Linked DNA regions of Oryctolagus cuniculus. The protein of the gene in region 1 binds, or shares a complex with, the protein of each later gene. Links are inferred from orthologs where the notes say so. Each region holds a gene or a part of one and is shown on either strand. Other genes may lie near its edges.

Evidence for each region.
Region 2: PRKG1 (region 1) and CNN1 share a complex: the UniProt entries of both Homo sapiens proteins name them as parts of the cGMP kinase signaling complex. The link is inferred for Oryctolagus cuniculus from reciprocal best matches to the Homo sapiens genes PRKG1 and CNN1.

Annotation. Positions count from the first base shown.
Region 1 is NC_091446.1:45,312,048-45,320,620, forward strand, and holds part of PRKG1 (cGMP-dependent protein kinase 1), read left to right. Parts: intron 1-3,143; coding exon 3,144-3,283; intron 3,284-4,260; coding exon 4,261-4,350; intron 4,351-8,573. UniProt on the Homo sapiens protein: Serine/threonine protein kinase that acts as a key mediator of the nitric oxide (NO)/cGMP signaling pathway. GMP binding activates PRKG1, which phosphorylates serines and threonines on many cellular proteins.
Region 2 is NC_091447.1:66,346,653-66,355,749, forward strand, and holds CNN1 (calponin-1), read right to left. Parts: upstream 5,833-9,097; 5' UTR 5,738-5,832; coding exon 5,675-5,737; intron 3,816-5,674; coding exon 3,694-3,815; intron 2,199-3,693; coding exon 2,132-2,198; intron 2,046-2,131; coding exon 1,908-2,045; intron 1,799-1,907; coding exon 1,688-1,798; intron 1,005-1,687; coding exon 858-1,004; intron 778-857; coding exon 535-777; 3' UTR 36-534; downstream 1-35. UniProt on the Homo sapiens protein: Thin filament-associated protein that is implicated in the regulation and modulation of smooth muscle contraction. It is capable of binding to actin, calmodulin and tropomyosin. The interaction of calponin with actin inhibits the actomyosin Mg-ATPase activity.

The DNA.
Region 1 (8,573 bases):
GACTCAAACTGGCTCCCGTATGGGATGCCAGCACTGTAGGCAGCAGCTTTACCCGGTCCGCCACAGCGCTGGCCCCGTGGCAAAAAGATCTTGAGAATTAGCATTTTTTCATTTGTTTTTCCTTTCTAGGAATATGGAGAGGAAAACCATTGTGGTGCAAGTGTCAACAACAGTCTTTTAGAAGTAGCTCCTCAAACCTTTACTTCTTAGTGGCACTGAGATAGTGTGGGGTGGAGACAGGAGTGGTAGAAAGCGACATTCAGTTTCTGGTGAGTCATATTTTGAAAATTGTGCTCGGCCTGAAGAGACCATTAAACTAAGCACATATGGACAAAAGAAGCTAACACTGACTGAGTGGTTATTGCACACAATAACCACTTTTATTTCATCTTTTTAATGTATAAGGATCATGCCCATATTACAGATGAGGAAACATAGCAAAGAAAGTTTGGAGAACTTGACCAAGATCACAAGCCTGAAAATGGCTCAGATATAAACAAAGGCATTCAAATTGCAGATCAGTCACACTCTCATCCTGTGCATTTGTGCACCTAGAATGCTGGGATAGCCTGCAGAGGGAGACAAATCTTTGGCCTGAAGCTTGCTCCAAACCTGCTGGGCTAGCAAGGATTCCTGGGCAGAAGAAAATGTGCATTTCTCTTCTCTTTCATCAGCTTCCTTTTATACTGAACATGAACTTATTTGAGTGGCAGGGAGAGACAGACAGACGACAATTTACTTCCTAAATGCCCAGCAGCAGGGAACTCAATCCAGGTCTCCTGTGCAGGTGCCAAGAACCCAACTATTAGAGACCTTGCTGCCTCCCAGAGCCTGGATCAGCAGGAAGCTGGAATCAGGAGTGGAGCCAGGGCTCAAATCCAGCACCCCATTATGGGACATAGGAGTCCCAACTGGCACCTTAACCTCTGTGTCAAACACTGGTGCCTGTGCTTTTGTTTGAAATTCAACTAAAAGGAGCTGTGGCGTAGCGGGTTAACACCCTGGCCTGAAGCACTGGCATCCCATATGGCCGCTGGTTCGAGACCCGGCCGCTCCACTTCTGATCCAGCTCTCCTGTGGCTTGGGAAAGCAGTGGAAAATGCCCAAGTCCTTGTGCCCCTGCACCAGAAGATCCTGCCTCCTGGCTTTAGATTGGCACAGCTCTGGCCATTGCAGCCATCTGGGGAGTGAACCATTGGATGGAAGACCTCTCTCTTTGGCTCTACCTCTCTATGTAACTCTGTCTTTCAAATAAATAAAAATAAATCTTAAAAAAAATTCAACTGAAGGGACACAGCATAAGCTGCTGTGAGTGGCTTGGGTCAAAACATTTGTTCAAATGTTTATAGGTAAGCATTTTGGCTCCTCTGAAAGAGAATTTTATGCTTCATCCTACTGGGTAAAGGTTTCTGGGCAGGGCGACAGTACAAGGTGGGAAATTATAACTAAATGCCCGTTCAGTGGCACACTCTCATTTAAGATCGCAGTCACTCAGTGCAGTCACTGATGTTACCCTCAGCAAGAACTAGGGCTCAGAGCGCTTGGTCTCTCTCAGCTTCTTAGGCAACCTGCTTAAGCAGAGTTGGAATTCAAGTCCCACTCCGTGAATGTAAAGGCTGAGTTCTCTTCTTCTAACCTGCGCACAAGTCAAAGATCTGTTTTCATCCCTAAAGAGATTAATTCTTACCTTAGGCCTCTGAACTACATCCGAGGTAAGGCAACGAACAGAGGAAGACTTTACTCCTTTCCCTCTGCATTTTAGGACTGACACTGACGTGGCTCATTTTCACGGCATCTTCCCTATCTATTGAGATTTCTTTTAGCAGGGAGTTTTCATATATTTTGTTTTTATCGTGAACTACACTGAATTCATTTGTATCACACTCATCTGTCATCTTAAAAGAAAGCATTTCACGCAGTAGAGGGCCTTCGGCGGTTAAAGGCATTTTCAAATTATCTATTTCCCTTCTCAGCTGTCAGGCGGCTTCACAAACACTGGCAGCAGACCAGGACTCATTTATTGGAAGGGTCCTCATGCTCCCTCCGGACGAACTTGGCCCATTAGTGCCCTCTCAGATCAACTTGAATCTGTACGCGTGTGCATGAACAAAACACTTAAGAACTCTGCTATGCCTGCAAATGAGGCAGGACGTCACTCACACCTGAAGAGGGGACCATTACACTTCAGCTGAAAAACAAGAACAGCTCGCCATGTTACTTCCCCAAAGTTTCCGTTAGTTCCCAATAACGTGAGCTATTGGATAGTGTCTTGAGGGTATTGCTGTTGGAGAGCACTAGATGCTAGTGCCCTTATATGGAAGTTAAGTGTTTAGTGTTTCCTTACAAGTCGTCCTGTTGGAATTTCTCGTCCGTGTGAACACAGAGCAGCAGCCTGTCTGAAGTATGGCACTAGGGAGGACTCAAGCCTCCTCCAGAGCCGCTGGAGGCCACCTGGGCTGCCAAAACAGCATGGGTGCTTCTAGGGCTCCCCAGTTAATGTAAGGTTTGAGATCAAAGGGGATTAAAACCATCATACATGCTTGAGGAGAGAAAACAAGTTTCAAAATCTCTCCAAAACGAAATCTGGTGACAATGGTCTCTTTTTAACTGGAAAGAGGGGAAAGAGTGCTAGGGAAAAAGAGAAGAATTAGCAGGAGACAGGTCAGCAGTCTCCTAGGACAGGGATAGGATCAGTCACTGGAGTTAGCTCTAGAAACGTGTACGGACTAGGATCCCACTTTTGCCCCGCACATTTGAAGTAAAAGTGGAAAAGACATTAGTGTTCATTTCTACTGTTTCGATTAAAGGACAGTAATGGAAAATATACTCAAACACATTATTTGAAATGAAGCAGTACATTGAGAATCAAGTGTATTTTCCTTCTTCTACTCCACGTAGACATATTAATTTGGAATCCAGATAGGTAAAATGCATCCCTTTCCGTGGAGGGAGATTGAATGATAGCTGTGGGCTCTGGATTTTGAACTCAGGTCTAGCAAGGGTTTACTGTGGGGGGCACTTAGGCGATTGCTGCAATTCACTGGGGTTTTCCCTGCACCTGTGAATCTGGAGGTAATAACAGTGCACACTGTGCCATTCAAGCTGTGGGCTTTTCTCAGTTGTCCTGTCTGTCTGTCCTGAAGGTCCAGTTGAAGAGTGAAGAATCCAAAACATTTGCAATGAAGATTCTCAAGAAGCGCCACATAGTGGACACGAGACAGCAGGAACACATTCGCTCGGAGAAGCAAATCATGCAGGGCGCGCATTCCGACTTCATCGTGAGGTAAAGGCCCTGCCCCTGGAGGCGAATGACCCCAGCGGCCTCCGCCTCTTCGGCTCACTCTTTATTTATTTTATTTTTTTTTTATTTTTTGACAGGCAGAGTGGACAGTGAGAGAGAGAGACAGAGAGAAAGGTCTTCCTTTTCCATTGGTTCACCCTCCAATGGCCGCCACGGTCGGCGTGCTGCGGCCGGCACATCGCGCTGATCCGATGGCAGGAGCCAGGTGCTTCTCCTGGTCTCCCATGGGGTGCAGGGCCCAAGCACCTGGGCCATCCTCCACTGCACTCCCGGGCCACAGCAGAGAGCTGGCCTGGAAGAGGGGCAACCGGGACAGAATCCGGCGCCCCGACCGGGACTAGAACCCGGTGTGCCGGCGCCGCAAGGCGGAGGATTAGCCTAGTCAGCTCACTCTTAACACATTGTGCTCACAGAAAGAAACTTACTTTTCCATCTAATCTGAAAGAAGTTTACTTTAAAAAATGATTGATTCTTTTTTAGGATGTATTTATTTCTTTGAAAGGCAGGCAGAGTCAGAGGAAGAGACAGGAAGTGAGACCTTCCATCCCCTGGATCATGCCCCAGTGGCACTTGCTGACAACAGGATCTAACGTGAATTTAAGTGACCACTTCTTGAATTTCATGTGTCCATAATTGTAAACTTTAATCTACTTTATGTCATTTGCACTGCACATTTATGACGATAAAAATGTTGCTTGAGAGTCCATGCTCAACATACCAGCCAAATCGGAATTGAGAAGGTCATAGGAAGAAGGTCATGTGGATGAACCCGTTTCAAGGGAAAGATCAGCCTCAGTGGTTTATAAATGTTATTCACTAGCCTTTGGGCTAGGTCTCTCTCATTCCGATAAAACTTTCAGCTTGCAAATCAAAGAATATCATCTGGGCACTCAAAAATCTTTATCCTTTTAAAAGACACTAATACTTCTAATACTGGTTTTCTTGTTTGCAATTTACAGACTCTACAGAACATTTAAGGACAGCAAATATTTGTATATGTTGATGGAAGCTTGCCTAGGAGGAGAGCTCTGGACCATTCTCAGGGATAGGTAAGATATTTCAGAAATTTCACAGAGTGTCTCTAAAATGTAATTCCCCATGATGGTCTGTAAGGAGAGCCAATTATTATAAAGCATGAAAATCATATTTATACTTTATGGATGCTTATATTTCTTAATGTGAACAGGGTCACTATCCATGTATAATTTACTATAAAACTCACTTGGTAACTTTTTCCTGAGCCTCTACCTTAATCTTTGGTTTCAAAATTAACCTGTTTTCAGCCATCTATTTTAGCCCTTAGCTGGTCTTAGGAAAACATGAGCCCACTTAGAAGCAGTATTTCATATAAACAATCTCATTTAGATTTACTTTTCTACCCTTCCAGAGAAAGTAAAGTTTGTCTAGATAATGGTGGCTTAATTTTTAATTATGAAAATTCATTGTGTCTCAATTTTTCATCCTATGTTTATATAACTAGAAAATCATCTTTTTAAAGGTTATTCTATAGGAAATTTTAGGAGATTATTATCTATCTTAAGTGTTTACTTTTTAAAGAAAAAGGACATAATTTTATATTCCTGTGGGAAATCTTGTGATTACTTCCTTTGAATGAACCACTGATGATTCCAAAGTCGTGTTTTGAATATTCACCTTTAGACATCTACAGATGTCTTGTTTGTTCCAGCCCTGCCCCCTAGATTCTCCTTTGTTGTGTAACATCTTCCTGAAACCCAGCTGTACATAGCCTTGGTGTTCCCAGAAGCCTTGTAATGCTTGACACTTGTTACTTTGTTGATGTCCCAGAATAGAACAAGTGGCTCTTTATAAAGGATTAATCTAAATGAAATGATGTTACTAATGTTTTTAAGGTACCCTGATATTTTGTACAACATGCCCTTTCTGATCTTTTATTCCCCTGTTTTTAACTTATAAGAGGGAAAATAGGCTTAACAGATAAGTTTATTTTAATGCAGTTTTTTGGGGAAATCCATGCAGTTTTTTCGTAATATGCTTGTTCCATGAACATTCTGAAATCTCTACATATAGGTCAAATGGATTTCTCTTTATGATATTTTATCATATTACATTAATATTTTGTCACATTTAAGATAAAAACATACAAAAGAATGCATCATGTTCACGTTAGAGAGAAGCATTACCATCTGTACTAAATTATTATTTCATAGCACATCATTCTATTATTGTTAGTGGGTATTTGAGTATAGATTATATACCAACCATTCTGATAGAACCTGGAGATTCTGGGATAAGTAAAACAGATGTGGTCCCCTCCTTTGAATTTATAACCTACTACACAAAGTTAATTTACTGATTTGTAAAGTAATAAGTGACATATCCTAATGTGGTTCAGCTTTTTTTAGATTACTACGTTTTTATTTATTTGAAAGGTGAAGAGAGTGAACTGGTTCATTCCCCAAATACCCACAATAGCCAGGGCTGAGCCAGGCGGAAACCAGAAGGCAGGAGCTCAGTCCAGGTCTCTCATGGGTGGCAGTGACCCAGCTAGTTGAGCCATCACCTGCTCCCAGTTAGTGCATTTGCAGGAAGCTGGAAATGGGAACCAAGCCAGGACTTGACCCCATGCATTCCACTATGAGATGCAGGCATTCCAAGTGGCATCTTGTCTACTGTGCCAACTGCCCACCCTGTACTATTTTATTTTTGACCTGACATTTTGTTCCAGTGGTTGATTTGAAATCTCCTTAATACTTTTCTCTGATTAGAATAGGAAGAAATACACAGCAAAATTAAAGATGAAAACTCCAATCAACTACTATTACCTTTCTTAACCAGAAGACAGTAATGATAAAACTCATTCTAAAGTCCACTCATAATGCATTACGTATGCTCACACATTAGTATTCAAGTAATTTTTGGAAGTAAATATTATCTCCTATTTTCCCCATTTAACTTGATTTTATGCTCTGTGTTCCTTAGTGCCAGGCAAGGCTTCTGAGCACCTTCCATTTTGATTTGGCAGGGTAGTAACAGGTGGCTATTTGGAAGCAACTTGCTTTGGGAGCAGCAGATGAAGGGAACATATCAGTGGACGTTGATTTTTCTACCTTGATCCTTCCCTTAGCATTTTTCTCCCTCTTAGCATCCTCAAGTTTGGGATACACCATCGCTGAGTTTCCTCCAAGATACCTAACCCCATAAAGAAGCGTGGTCCGGAGAAGTAGTGGCTACTTGTTTCTTCCTAAAAATTGAGGTGCTGAAGCCCCAACATTAAAAGCAGTGAAACCAGGGTGGGTGTGTGGTGCAGCAGTTACGATGCAGCCTGGGATGCCTCCATCCCACCTCAGGGTTTCTGGGGTTCAAGCCTGATTCACTCCTGATTCCAACTTTGTTTTAATGCCTACAAAGGGAGGCAGGAGGTGATGGGTTAAGTACTTGTGGGAGACCCAAATGAGGTTCCTGGCTCCTCTCTTTGGCCTGGTGTAACCCCAATGGTTGCAGCCATTTTGGGAACAAACGGTTAGGAAGTATCTGTCTGCCTTTCAAATAAAATAAACTTAGAAAGAAAGCAATGAAACTATTAGATCCTTGTCCCTTGCCAACTTTATGTATACATGCAGATTTACTGCTTTTATTTTCTGTGATTTTTCTTTTTTCCTCCTCAAGAAATTGTTGGTGGAAAAGCATCATTTTGGATATCCAGGCTCCAATTACTATTGCCACTGACTAGTTTTCTGTTTGTTTCAATTAGAGCTAAAAAAATCTTCAAAACTGTTAGAAGCGAACTGAAAAAATGCCAAGGGAAGGATAATGTTATTATGCTTAATTATAGTGTAAATGAACATGTGTACAGTAAAAAATTATTCAGTTTTCCTTTTGTGCCTGAGTAGCAAGGCAGTGTAGGAGAAGCTGTTCTGAAAGCACACAGGAAATGTGTTGGGATTTATTTGGAGAAGGCTTGTGTGGCTTTCTTCTTGACTGACATGGAAATACCTCTGAGCCTTAGAGACTTAGCACGGGAAGTCCCTGAGAGCAGCTCAGGCCTGCCCCTCCTGTCGCCTTTGGGCTGGGACCATCACTCCCTGCCTCTCTCTTTGCTCACCGGCATGGGAAGGGAACCCAAGGCAGCCCTCGATTCGTTGTCAGGAAGTACGAATTAAAAAGAGAGCAGCTTTATAAAAACATAATTTGAAAATGATTAAACATTTTCCTGTCTTTAAGCCATGACCTAAAGCATCAGCATAGTTGTCCTTTTTTCTCTGATTTATTCCTTATTAGCTGTCATGTTTTATATTCCAGCTTGTGACTTCTGTCTTCCAAAAGCCCTGGCCCTTTATTTGGGATAAGTTGGTAACATTGTAAGAGTATATATGAATGTGTGTGTATATGTATCTGTTGTAATTCATTTTTCCTCCCTAACTTGTGAAAAATTGCCAACCCCTTAAACTTTCTTAAAACCATGTGTTTAATATAATAATTATACATTAGCATTTATATTAATGCATAATATATAACATTATCACTTGCACACATACTAGTATTCAATAAAATTTTAATCTAGTGAGACTAATCTAGTGAAATTTAACATTTCAATCATTTATCAGAATTTAAAATTTTTTTAAAGAAAACATTCTATTTCCTTGAAAGGCAAAGTGACAGAGTTCTTGCATCGGCTGGTTCACTCCTCCAAATGGCTTCAACAACTAGGGCTGGGCCAGGCCAAAGGAGGTGCCTGGAATGCCACCCAAGTTTCCCAGTTGGATAGAGGCCCAGGCACTTGGGTCAACTTCAGCTGTTTCTCCCAGGCACATTAGCAGAGAGCTGCATGAGAAGCAGAGCATCTGGCACTCAAACCGGCGCTCTGAAATGAATTGCTGGCATTGGAGACAGTGGCAGAAACTGCTATGCCACAACACCAGCCCTAGGTTTTTTTCATATGTAAATTTTTCCTACTGAATATCTTAAATAATTATTTCAGAGACCACAATTTTCAAATGTCAAACATCTGCCTATTTAGGGGATGCTGATTATTTATATTCCATCTAAGATGACTGAATAGATGGCACAGACTATGTCCTTGGAAATACCTTGAATTTTCAAAACTCAGCCTCCTTAATTTTACAGTTGGCAATAAACTTGCATAGAGTGTAACATATGTCAAGTTTTTGCACTTACTAATAATCATTGTTACTAGGCACAGAAAACCCTGAATGTATCATTTGTTAAGAAATATTTTGCCTTTGTTTTGACATGGGAGAGTAAGTTTACTACAAATTGATTAAGCATTGTA
Region 2 (9,097 bases), on another chromosome or scaffold:
GCCACGCGCCCCAGGCACAGAGCAGCCCCGGGGCCTTGTGTGATTTGACAGCCATTTATTGTGCTCCAGTGAAATAGAAAAAACAACAACAACAAAGTGCTCGCGTCACAAACGCCGCTGTCACATCCGCTCATGCAGGTCGCTGCGCCTCTGCGAGTGCAGTTTGCTCCTGCTGCGGCCATGGGGCGGGGGCGGGGGCGGGGGCGGGCCGAGCCTGGGCTCCGGGGCGCGGAGGGCTTCGCTGGGGTGAGCCGCTGGGGGCGGGGGTGGGGGTACCCACTTGTGAGGGAGTCGGGGGACAGCTGGAACAGCTTTGCTATTGGGGGACACCCAGCTTGGCGACAAAGCCTGCAGCCCCTCTCCCCCCCACTCCCACAGATCTCCTCCCCCCACCCCCCCAAGTCTGCTGTCCCCCAACGCTAACCCTGTAGGCAGGTGCCAGGGGCTTGGAGGACGCCATGCGGGGAGAAGGGGCGGGCGGGGCCCGGCTGGGTCCAGCCTCGAGCAGCGGGGGCGCGGCGGGCCGGGGAGGCCCTAGGCAGAGTTGTAGTAGTTGTGGGGGTGGTGGTTGTGGGCGGGCTCGAGCTCGGGGTACTCGGGCGTCAGGCAGTACTTGGGGTCGTAGACCTGGCGGGGCAGCCCGTACACCGTCATGCCGCGCTGCGACGCGCCCTTGTTGCTCCCCATCTGCAGGCTTACGTTGAGCGTGTCACAGTGCTCCATGCCCAGCGCCGGCTCGAAGATCTGCCGCTTGGTGCCGGGGGCCGTCATGCCGGCCTGCGGGGCGACAGGGCGGGGCGCGCTCAGGCCGCGGGGGCGGGGGGCGGCGGGAGGCGCCCTTGCGGCCCTCCACCCACCTGGCTGGCTCCCTTGTTGGTGCCCATCTGCAGGCTGATGGTGGCCTGGTCCAGGGGCTGGTCCGTGCCCAGCTTGGGGTCGTAGAGGTGGCGCCGGGTGCCATAGGCCGTCATGCCCTGCTGGCTGGCGAACTTGTTGGTGCCCATCTGCGAGGCCAGGAGGTGAGGACCAAAGGCACAGGGCCCAGCCCCGAGATTAATTCTTTAAATTTTATTTGAGAAGCAGAGAGAGAGAGAGAGATCTCCCCTCTGCTGGTTCATCCCACCCCTGTCCCCCCCCAATCACCACCACGCGCGATGCCTGCCACGGGGGCCAGCCTTGTGGTGCAGCGGGGTGAAGGTGCCGCCTGCCCCTCTGATCCAGCTCCCCACCGATGCGCCTGGGAGCAAAGCAGCAGTGCTGGGGCCCCTGCCACCCATGCGGGAGACCCGGATGCAGCCTGGCCCAGCCCCGGCCCTTGAGGGCATTTTGGGGGAGTGAACCAGCAGGTGGAGGACCTCGCCCTTGCCCTCTCCCACGTCACTCTGCCTTTCAAATAAATTAATTTGAAAAAATAAATAAATAAATAAAATGCTTGCAACAGGCAGAAGCCGGGACCCAGGTACCCACTCCGGGCCTCCCAGGTGGGCGGCAGGGAGGGACTTGAGCACTTGAGCCATCCCCCAGTGCCTCCCAGGATGCGCACTGGCAGGAAGCTGGGGTCAGGGGCAGAGCAGGGGACTCGAACCCAGGCCCTCCGGGCACCCCAGTGGGCATCTTCACCACCACGCCAGACGCCGGCCCCCCGGAGAGCGCCGCCGGCAGCAGGACCGGGAGGCAGCGGCTGTACCTGCAGCCCGATGATGTTCCGCCCTTCCCGAAGCTTCTCTGGCTCGAACTTGCGCTCCTGCTTCTCCGCGTACTTGACCCCCACGTTCACCTTGTTTCCTTTCGTCTTGGCCTGGGGCGAGAGGGGCAGGCGCAGGGCCGGGAGGTCCCCAGGCTGCACCCGCTGTCTCCCCCACACCCACACTGGGCTCAGCGGGCGTCCACCCGGCACCGACACTCACCATGCTGGCCAGGGCCAGCAGAGTGGACTGCACCTGGGTGTGGTTGGTGTTCTCGAACAGGTCGTTGGCCTCGAAGATGTCGTGGGGCTTCACCCCGTACTTGGTAATGGCCTTGATGAAGTTGCCAATGTTTTCCAGCTGGGGAGCGAGGAGGGGGGCGGTGGTCAGCGGGGCGGGGGCGGGGGCGGGGGCTGGGACGCGGAAGGGGCGGAGGAGGGGCCCACCTGGTGCCAGTTTTGGGTCGACTCGTTCACCTTCTTCACGGAGCCTGGCTGGAGTTTGTTGATGAACCTGGGGACGGGGGAGGGGAGTGAGCGGCGGCCCCCAGCGTCCACACCCATGGCCAGTCCAGCACGGAAGGGGCTCAAGCTGGCAGTCGCCTTCGTAGCTCTCAGGGCCCCCACCCCTGCCGCAAGTTACCCTATGCACCCCCACATAGGAAACATGGGGAACCAGCCGCGGCCTGTAGAGGGCGCTAGACTACGTCTCCTTATCGCAGTACATCCCAGTCCGCTGGCGGGGGCTGCCATGTCCCAGGGTCCTTGTAGTGGTGTGGACACAGCAGGGAGCCCCGAAGGGCCTCTCCTCTGACCACACTCATCCCTTCTTGATCTCGTCCAACCTGTGAAAGGCCACTGAGGCGCCCGAGTGCCCAGGATGTCCCTGCAGTCCGAGCCTCTCCCCTGGCACCTCCTCCCAGGCTTGTTTACTGTCCCCCTCCCCCCACCTTCCCCACAGCAGGTACCACTTCAGGCAGGTGTGTGAGTTTGATCAGTCAATTGACACCTCACACCCACCACCCCCCACCCCCCACCCCCGCCACACCACAAAAGCTCCCTGCAGGGACTTGTAAAACTTGTAGTGCCCGCATCCCCTGTGGGAGCCTGTTTGAATCCCGGCTGCTCCACTTCTGGTCCCGCTCTCTGCTGTGGCCTAGGAAAGCAGCAGAAGATGGCCCAAGTGCTTGGGCCCCTGCACCCACGTGGGAGACCTGGATGGAGCTCCTGGTTCCTGGCTTCAGATCTGCTCAGCTCTAGCCATTGTGGCCATCTTGGGAGTGAACTGGCGGATGGAAGACCTCTCTCTCCCTCTCTCTCTCTCTCTGCCTCTCTGTAACTTCGCCTTTGAAATAAAATAAATAAATCTTTGAAAAAAAAAAAAAAAAGCTCCTGTGTTCAGTGTCCCCAGGTACCAAGACCAGAGCCTGGCACACAACAGGTGCGCGTGATGCTTGATGCTTGTGGTGTGGACTTAGGGGCGGGGGCTGTGTGTCTGAGACCTGCACAGCCCCCCAGGCCCAAGTCACCAATGTGTCCTCCTTGGTCCTCATTCCCGGTGAACGGGGACGGACCAAGACGCACAGCCCCTGCCTTCCGTAAGCTTCCCAAGGACACGCTCTGGCCCTCATGGTCACCCTGCCCTGTGCAGATCGGGCCTGGCTGGGCTCAGGGGAGCCGCAAAGTCATGAGGGCCCACTGGTGACCCCGCGCGTTTTCGCGGTGACCTCCCTTTCTTGGGTCTCTGGAGGCCGTCGGGGGGATAGGCCCCAGGCAGCACAGCGGCTAAGTCTGCAGCTGTTCCCACTGGAATAGCGAGGCAATGTGTCAGCTGACCCAGCCTCAGTCTGCCTGGCCTGTTAAACGGGCACAATGATCCTTCGACTCCCCGAAGAACGCTCTCACACTGGATAGAAAGCGACTGGCTCAGCTCCAGGCGCAGTCACTTGTGGAGGGTTGGGGACAGCACAAGGCAGGCAGGGGCTGGGCCACGAGGGCCCCCCACTCACTCGCAGAGGATGATGCCGTCTTTGAGGCCGTCCATGAAGTTGTTCCCGATGCGGCGGCCCGTCACGCCCTCGATCCACTCCCGCAGCTCCTGCTCCCGCTGGTGGTCGTACTTCTGGGCCAGCTGGGGGTGGGGGACACAGGGCGGGCGGCGGGGGGAGTGGAGGCCTTGGCTCTGGGTGTCCAACCCAAGCCTCCCTCAGCCCCGGCTTTTCCTGACCAACTAAGGCGATTCTGCCCCCACGCCCAGGGAGGGGGGCGGGTGGGCTGGGGTGGCACCTGCCCAGGGGGCCATTCCGGGCATTCTGAGGTTTGGCACCGGAGGAGAGACAAAAGGGGGCAGGCGCCCAGAGCCAGGTCCTCGGAGCTGGGTTGGAGGGGGGGCGAGGAGGCGGCGCCTGGCCTCCTGGTTCCCCCTCCAGGCCAAACTTGGGGTTTAGCTTTCCCCTGGCCCTGCCCCTTTTCGCTCCCCCTGGTGGGAAGAGGGGGCACAGCAGACGGATGGGGAGGAGGGGAGCGCGGGAGGTGCCTGGTGCCGCCGGTTGACAGGGGACTGCTCTGTCTTACATCTCTGGCTGGCTGTCTCTCACTGTCCCCCACCACCCCCACCAAGATCCTGGCCCCTGGGACTGCGTCCCGGGCGAGGGGGGTGGGGGCATCTTCTTGCCTTTGGCTGTTGACCCACTGGGCATCCGTCAGTCTGTCCGTCCGTCTGGCTGGCTCTCTCTCCCCCAGCTGCGTCAGTCTCCCCCCCACCCCCCCCCCCGTCTCCATCACGCTGGGGGTGGGGCTCCAGCATCTCTGTCCCTGTAGGCCCCCCTCTCCCGCCTTAACTCCAGCTTCCTGGCATCCCCTGAGGGTGGGGCAGGTCTGGGTGCCAGCCGGTGCCCCTGCATCCCTGTCCCCGTCTCATCCCGCGCCCCGCCCGCCCCTCCATCCGAGCCTCCAGCTCCCGGCATCTCTGTCTCCACCTCCCGTTTATCCAGAACGTTCTGCTCTGGGGACAGGGGGCATCCAGCTGCCCCTTCTCCAGGCTGGACGGGGAGCCGGGGGAGGGAGCGGCCCCCTCACCTGGCCCCGGCCCTGCCGCCCCCCTCCCCACCAGCCCAGCTTTATAAAGCAAACCGGCCCTTATATAGCGTGGCCGGACTCCCAAGGCCGCCTTATATGGCTTGGCGGCTCCGCGAGGCTCTGGGGCCGGCACTGGGAGGGGGGGAGGAGGGGGGTGGCGCTGGGATCTGTCTGCAGCCCAAGCATCCGCCCCCTCCGCCAGCCCCAACGAGACCCACCGACCTAGGTACCAATCCCAGCTCCCGGGTTCCTCGCTGCGGGACCCTGGGGAAGAGCCACCCTGACCCTCAGTGTTCCTCTCTGTGAAATGGGGCTGGGGGGCGGGGACGATTGCAGCGGGGTGGGGAATTCGGGGTCTCTGCCCTGGAGACTCCGGCTCTAGCAGTGCACCTGCCCGACCTTGGCCGCTAGCTGTTTGTTCATCCTCAGAGGCTCCGTGTACCCATCCCTAGCATGACAGTGGTGGCATCACAGCGTGTTCTCACCTCTGCACTTGGGAGCCCTCCGCCCTCCGCCCCCCACCCCCAGCCGTGTCCCTCTCCCCTCAGGTGGCCTCGCTGGGAGCCTGGCCTCTCCAGTGCTCCCCAATTTCTTGGTCCAACTGGGGGGGGGTGTGGAAAAATCAACAGGCCTCCCCCTTCCAACCCCATCGGGGCACCCAGGTTTCACACAGGCCTCCCATCCACGGTGGGACGCACACCTCTGTTTCGGGGTGACTGTGGGCCCCCCGCTGTGCTCCTCCTGATAACAGCTGAGGGTTCTGGGGTGCTGACAAGGAGGAGAGAGGCAGCCCCCACCCCTACCCCAAGCCTCTGCCCCTTCCCCTCTCAGGTTCCGGATCACATGGGGCAGGCGGGGGGGTGGGGGGACGCAGGGCACGTGGGCCAGGCCAGGGAGGCCCTGCAGCCCTACCTTGTTCTTGACCTCGGCCGACAGCCCGTAGGCGGGCCCTCGGTTGAAGTGAGCAGAGGACATGGCAGCGGGTGGGCTCTGGCTGGGCGCAGCCTGGACGCCGAGGAGCGGGGGCGGCGGCAGCTGAGGCTCCGTCTGCACCCTCTCCGCTCCTCACAGGTTTTTGAAGCTCCGGAGGCGGCCCGGGTCTCTTCCAAGGCCGTCCCATTGGCCGCAGGGGCTGGCAAGGGGGCGGGGCGGGGCGCCTCCCCCCCCCCCCCGCCGCGGCCACCCCCCTCCCTCGTGATGTCAGGGGCTTGGTATTGGGAGCTGACTATGTCATTGTTTCCACCTCGAGGGGCAGCCTGCGTTATTCCGGGTGTGTGTGTGGGGGGGTCCTGGCCAGAGAGACCAGCTTTCCTCCACCGCTGCCCCCACTGCACCCCCCCACACCTGCCCTGGGGCCCGGTCTCCAAGTCTCTGTATCCGAGGTCATCTTTGGGGCTTGAGGCAAGACCGCCACCCATGCTGACATAGCAAGCAGCCCCCTCATTTCAGACACCAACAGTCGTGCCTCAGTCAAATCCTTTGACCTCTCGGGCCTCCACTGCTGTGTCTGTGAAATGGGTTCATGGGGGGTGTTGTGAAAAGCAGGCGGCACGGTGTCCCTGCAGTGTCCCCAGCGCAGCGCCCGGCACGGGCAGTGGCTCAGGCAGGAGCATTACTCTGTAGCAGGTCCAGCAGCCCAGGTCCGGCTCCTCCTAAGGACCTGGGGGAGCAGACATCTTGGCTCTTGCCCCCTCCATGCACCTGTGCTCACCTGAGCCACCGAGTGTTTCTATTAGCAGGTCCCTGGCCACAAGCGCCCCCGCGGAGCGCTGTCCCCGAGTCTCATCTTGTACCACGGGGGTAACGCTGCACCCACACCGCACCCCCCACGCCAAGGCCATGCCAGGGGCAGCTGGACGTCAACAACCTGCCACACGCTCCTGACATGCCAAGGCCACAGCCCCCGCCCCCAAGTCCACACCACAAGCATCACGCGCACCTGTTGTGTGCCAGGCTCTGGTCTTGGTACCTGGGGACACGGAACACAGGAGCTTTTATTTTTTTTTCCAAAGATTTATTTATTTTATTTGAAAGGCGAAGTTACAGAGAGGCAGAAAGAGAGAGAGAGAGAGAGAGAGAGAGAGAGAGAGAGGTCTTCCATCCGCCAGTTCACTCCCAAGATGGCCACAATGGCTGGAGCTTCGCAGATGTGAAGCCAGGAGCCAGGAGCTCCATCCGGGTCTCCCACATGGGCCATCAGACCCTCTTCTAAAAAATACTTATTGATTCGAAAGACAGGGTGATGGGGGCGGGGCAGGGGAGAGGAAGAGACAGACAGACAGACAGTCAGAGGTATCTTCCATTGGTTGGTTCACTCCCCAGATGCCCACAACAGCCAGGGCTGGGCCAGGCCAAAGCCAGGAGCCTGGAGCTCCACCCAGGTCTCCCACTTGGGGTGGCAGGTGCCCGAGAACTTGAGCCCACACCTGCTGCCCCCCCCCTGGGTGCACATGCGCAGGGAGCTGGATCGGAAGCGGAGCAGCCGGGACAGGAACTGGGGCTTCCGAGATGGGGACGCAGGTGCACAAAACCCACACCCTGAAATCAGACCTTGTCCTACCCACTCAGTCCTGAGATGGATGCCGTAATTACACGCACTTTACAGAAGGGGAAACTGAGGCACGGGGCCACCCAGCTGCCCCAGGGTAAAGTTGGGTTTCTCAAACTTGGGCATTGTTGGGAGTCGAGGCTGGGGGCTGTCTGTCCTGGGTGCCACGGGCCGTCCAGAAGCTTCCCTTGGGTGCTGGGATTGTGGCAAAATGGGTTAAAGTACTTCTTGCGACACCAGCATCACGTCTCACAGTTTTGAGTCCCGGCCGCTCCACTTCTGATCCAGCTCCCTGCTAACACAGCCGGGAGAGCAGCAGGCGATGGCCCCGGCGCCTCAGTGCCTGCCTCCCACCCCCTGGGAGACCCAGCTGGAGCTCCCGGCTCCTGGCGTCCCCTCACCCAGTGCCGGTGGTGGTGGCTGTGGGCAGTGAACCAGCGCATGGAAGATCAATCTGTGTAACGCTGCCTTTCCCGTCAGCACTCCCTTTAGACTTTTAGTTACGACAGGGAGAGGGAGAGACAGAGAGAGAGAGATCTTCCTTATGCTGGTTCACTCCCCAAATGGCCTCAACGGCTGGAGCTGCCTCAACCTGGTGCCAGGAGCCAGGGGCTTCCTCCAGGTCTCCCCGCGGGTGCAGGGGCCCAAGGACTTGAGCCATCTTCCACTGCTTTCCCAGGCCACAGCAGAGAGCTGGATGGGAAGAGGAGCAGCCGGGACTAGAACTGGCGCCCCTGTGGGATGCTGGCATCACAGGCGGGCTAATCCTTTAGTCGTGACAAACAGAAATATCCACAGATATTGCTAAATGTCCCAGGCGATGGGAAGTAGCTGGAAGCCCCTGGGTTAAGCCAGTGTGCCAAGGACCAGTTGATGGTGGGTCACGATGGATTCAAGATACAGTGAAATACACAAAATGAGTTCAAAATGCGCACTCGGGATATACTAAGTGCCCTGGATCTGTTAACTCACGCTTCCCAGCAGCCCCGGGAGGTGAGCGTCTGCGCGTCACACAGAAGTGACAGCCGACTGTGCAGGCGGCACAAACTGGAAGGCGGCGGAGCCGGGATTCGAACACGCAGCCCCAGCCCAGCGCCACAGGTCTCTCCTGCGCATGCGAGGACCCGCGCCTGCGCCCAGCCCGCGGCCGGCGCCCCCTGGTGGCCGGGCCGGGGCGGGGCCGGGGCCGGGGCGGGGCCGGGGGCGGGGCCGGGCCGGGCCGGGGGCGGGGCCTGGCGGGCTCGGGCGGCGGTGACGCCAGCGCTGACTCACGGGGCCCCGAGCTCGGGCCGGCCGCCGCTTGGCCATTTATAGCATCCGCGCCGGCTCTGAAGTCACGGCCAAGGCACGACGGGGGCGGGCAGGGGAGCTTGGGGCGCGCCCCCGCCCGATGGGGCAGCCGGGCGTCCCCCGAGGGGGTGGCGCTTTGTGGGTTTGTCTGATTCCTGGGATGCCGGCTCTGGGATGCTGCCATGGGGAAAAGTGGGCGCCCCTCCCCCGAACCCTGAGAGGACCCCCTGAATCCTGATGCTCAGAAAAGATACCCAAGCCCACCTCGACCTGAGGATCCTGGGGAGAGACTGGACCCCGCCCCCGCCCCTCCCCATTCTGCACCTGCCTCCTGGCCTGTCATCCCTAATGGCTTGTTCCAGGGCTGCTCCCTCCATACCCGGGTTTGCACGAAGCACAGATAATCTGTTAATCTCCCAGGGAGAAACTCCTAAGAGGCCAAGCCGCTCCCCCTGCTTGGTGCTGTTTCTGGAGTTCTCAAAACCCTGCACTACCAG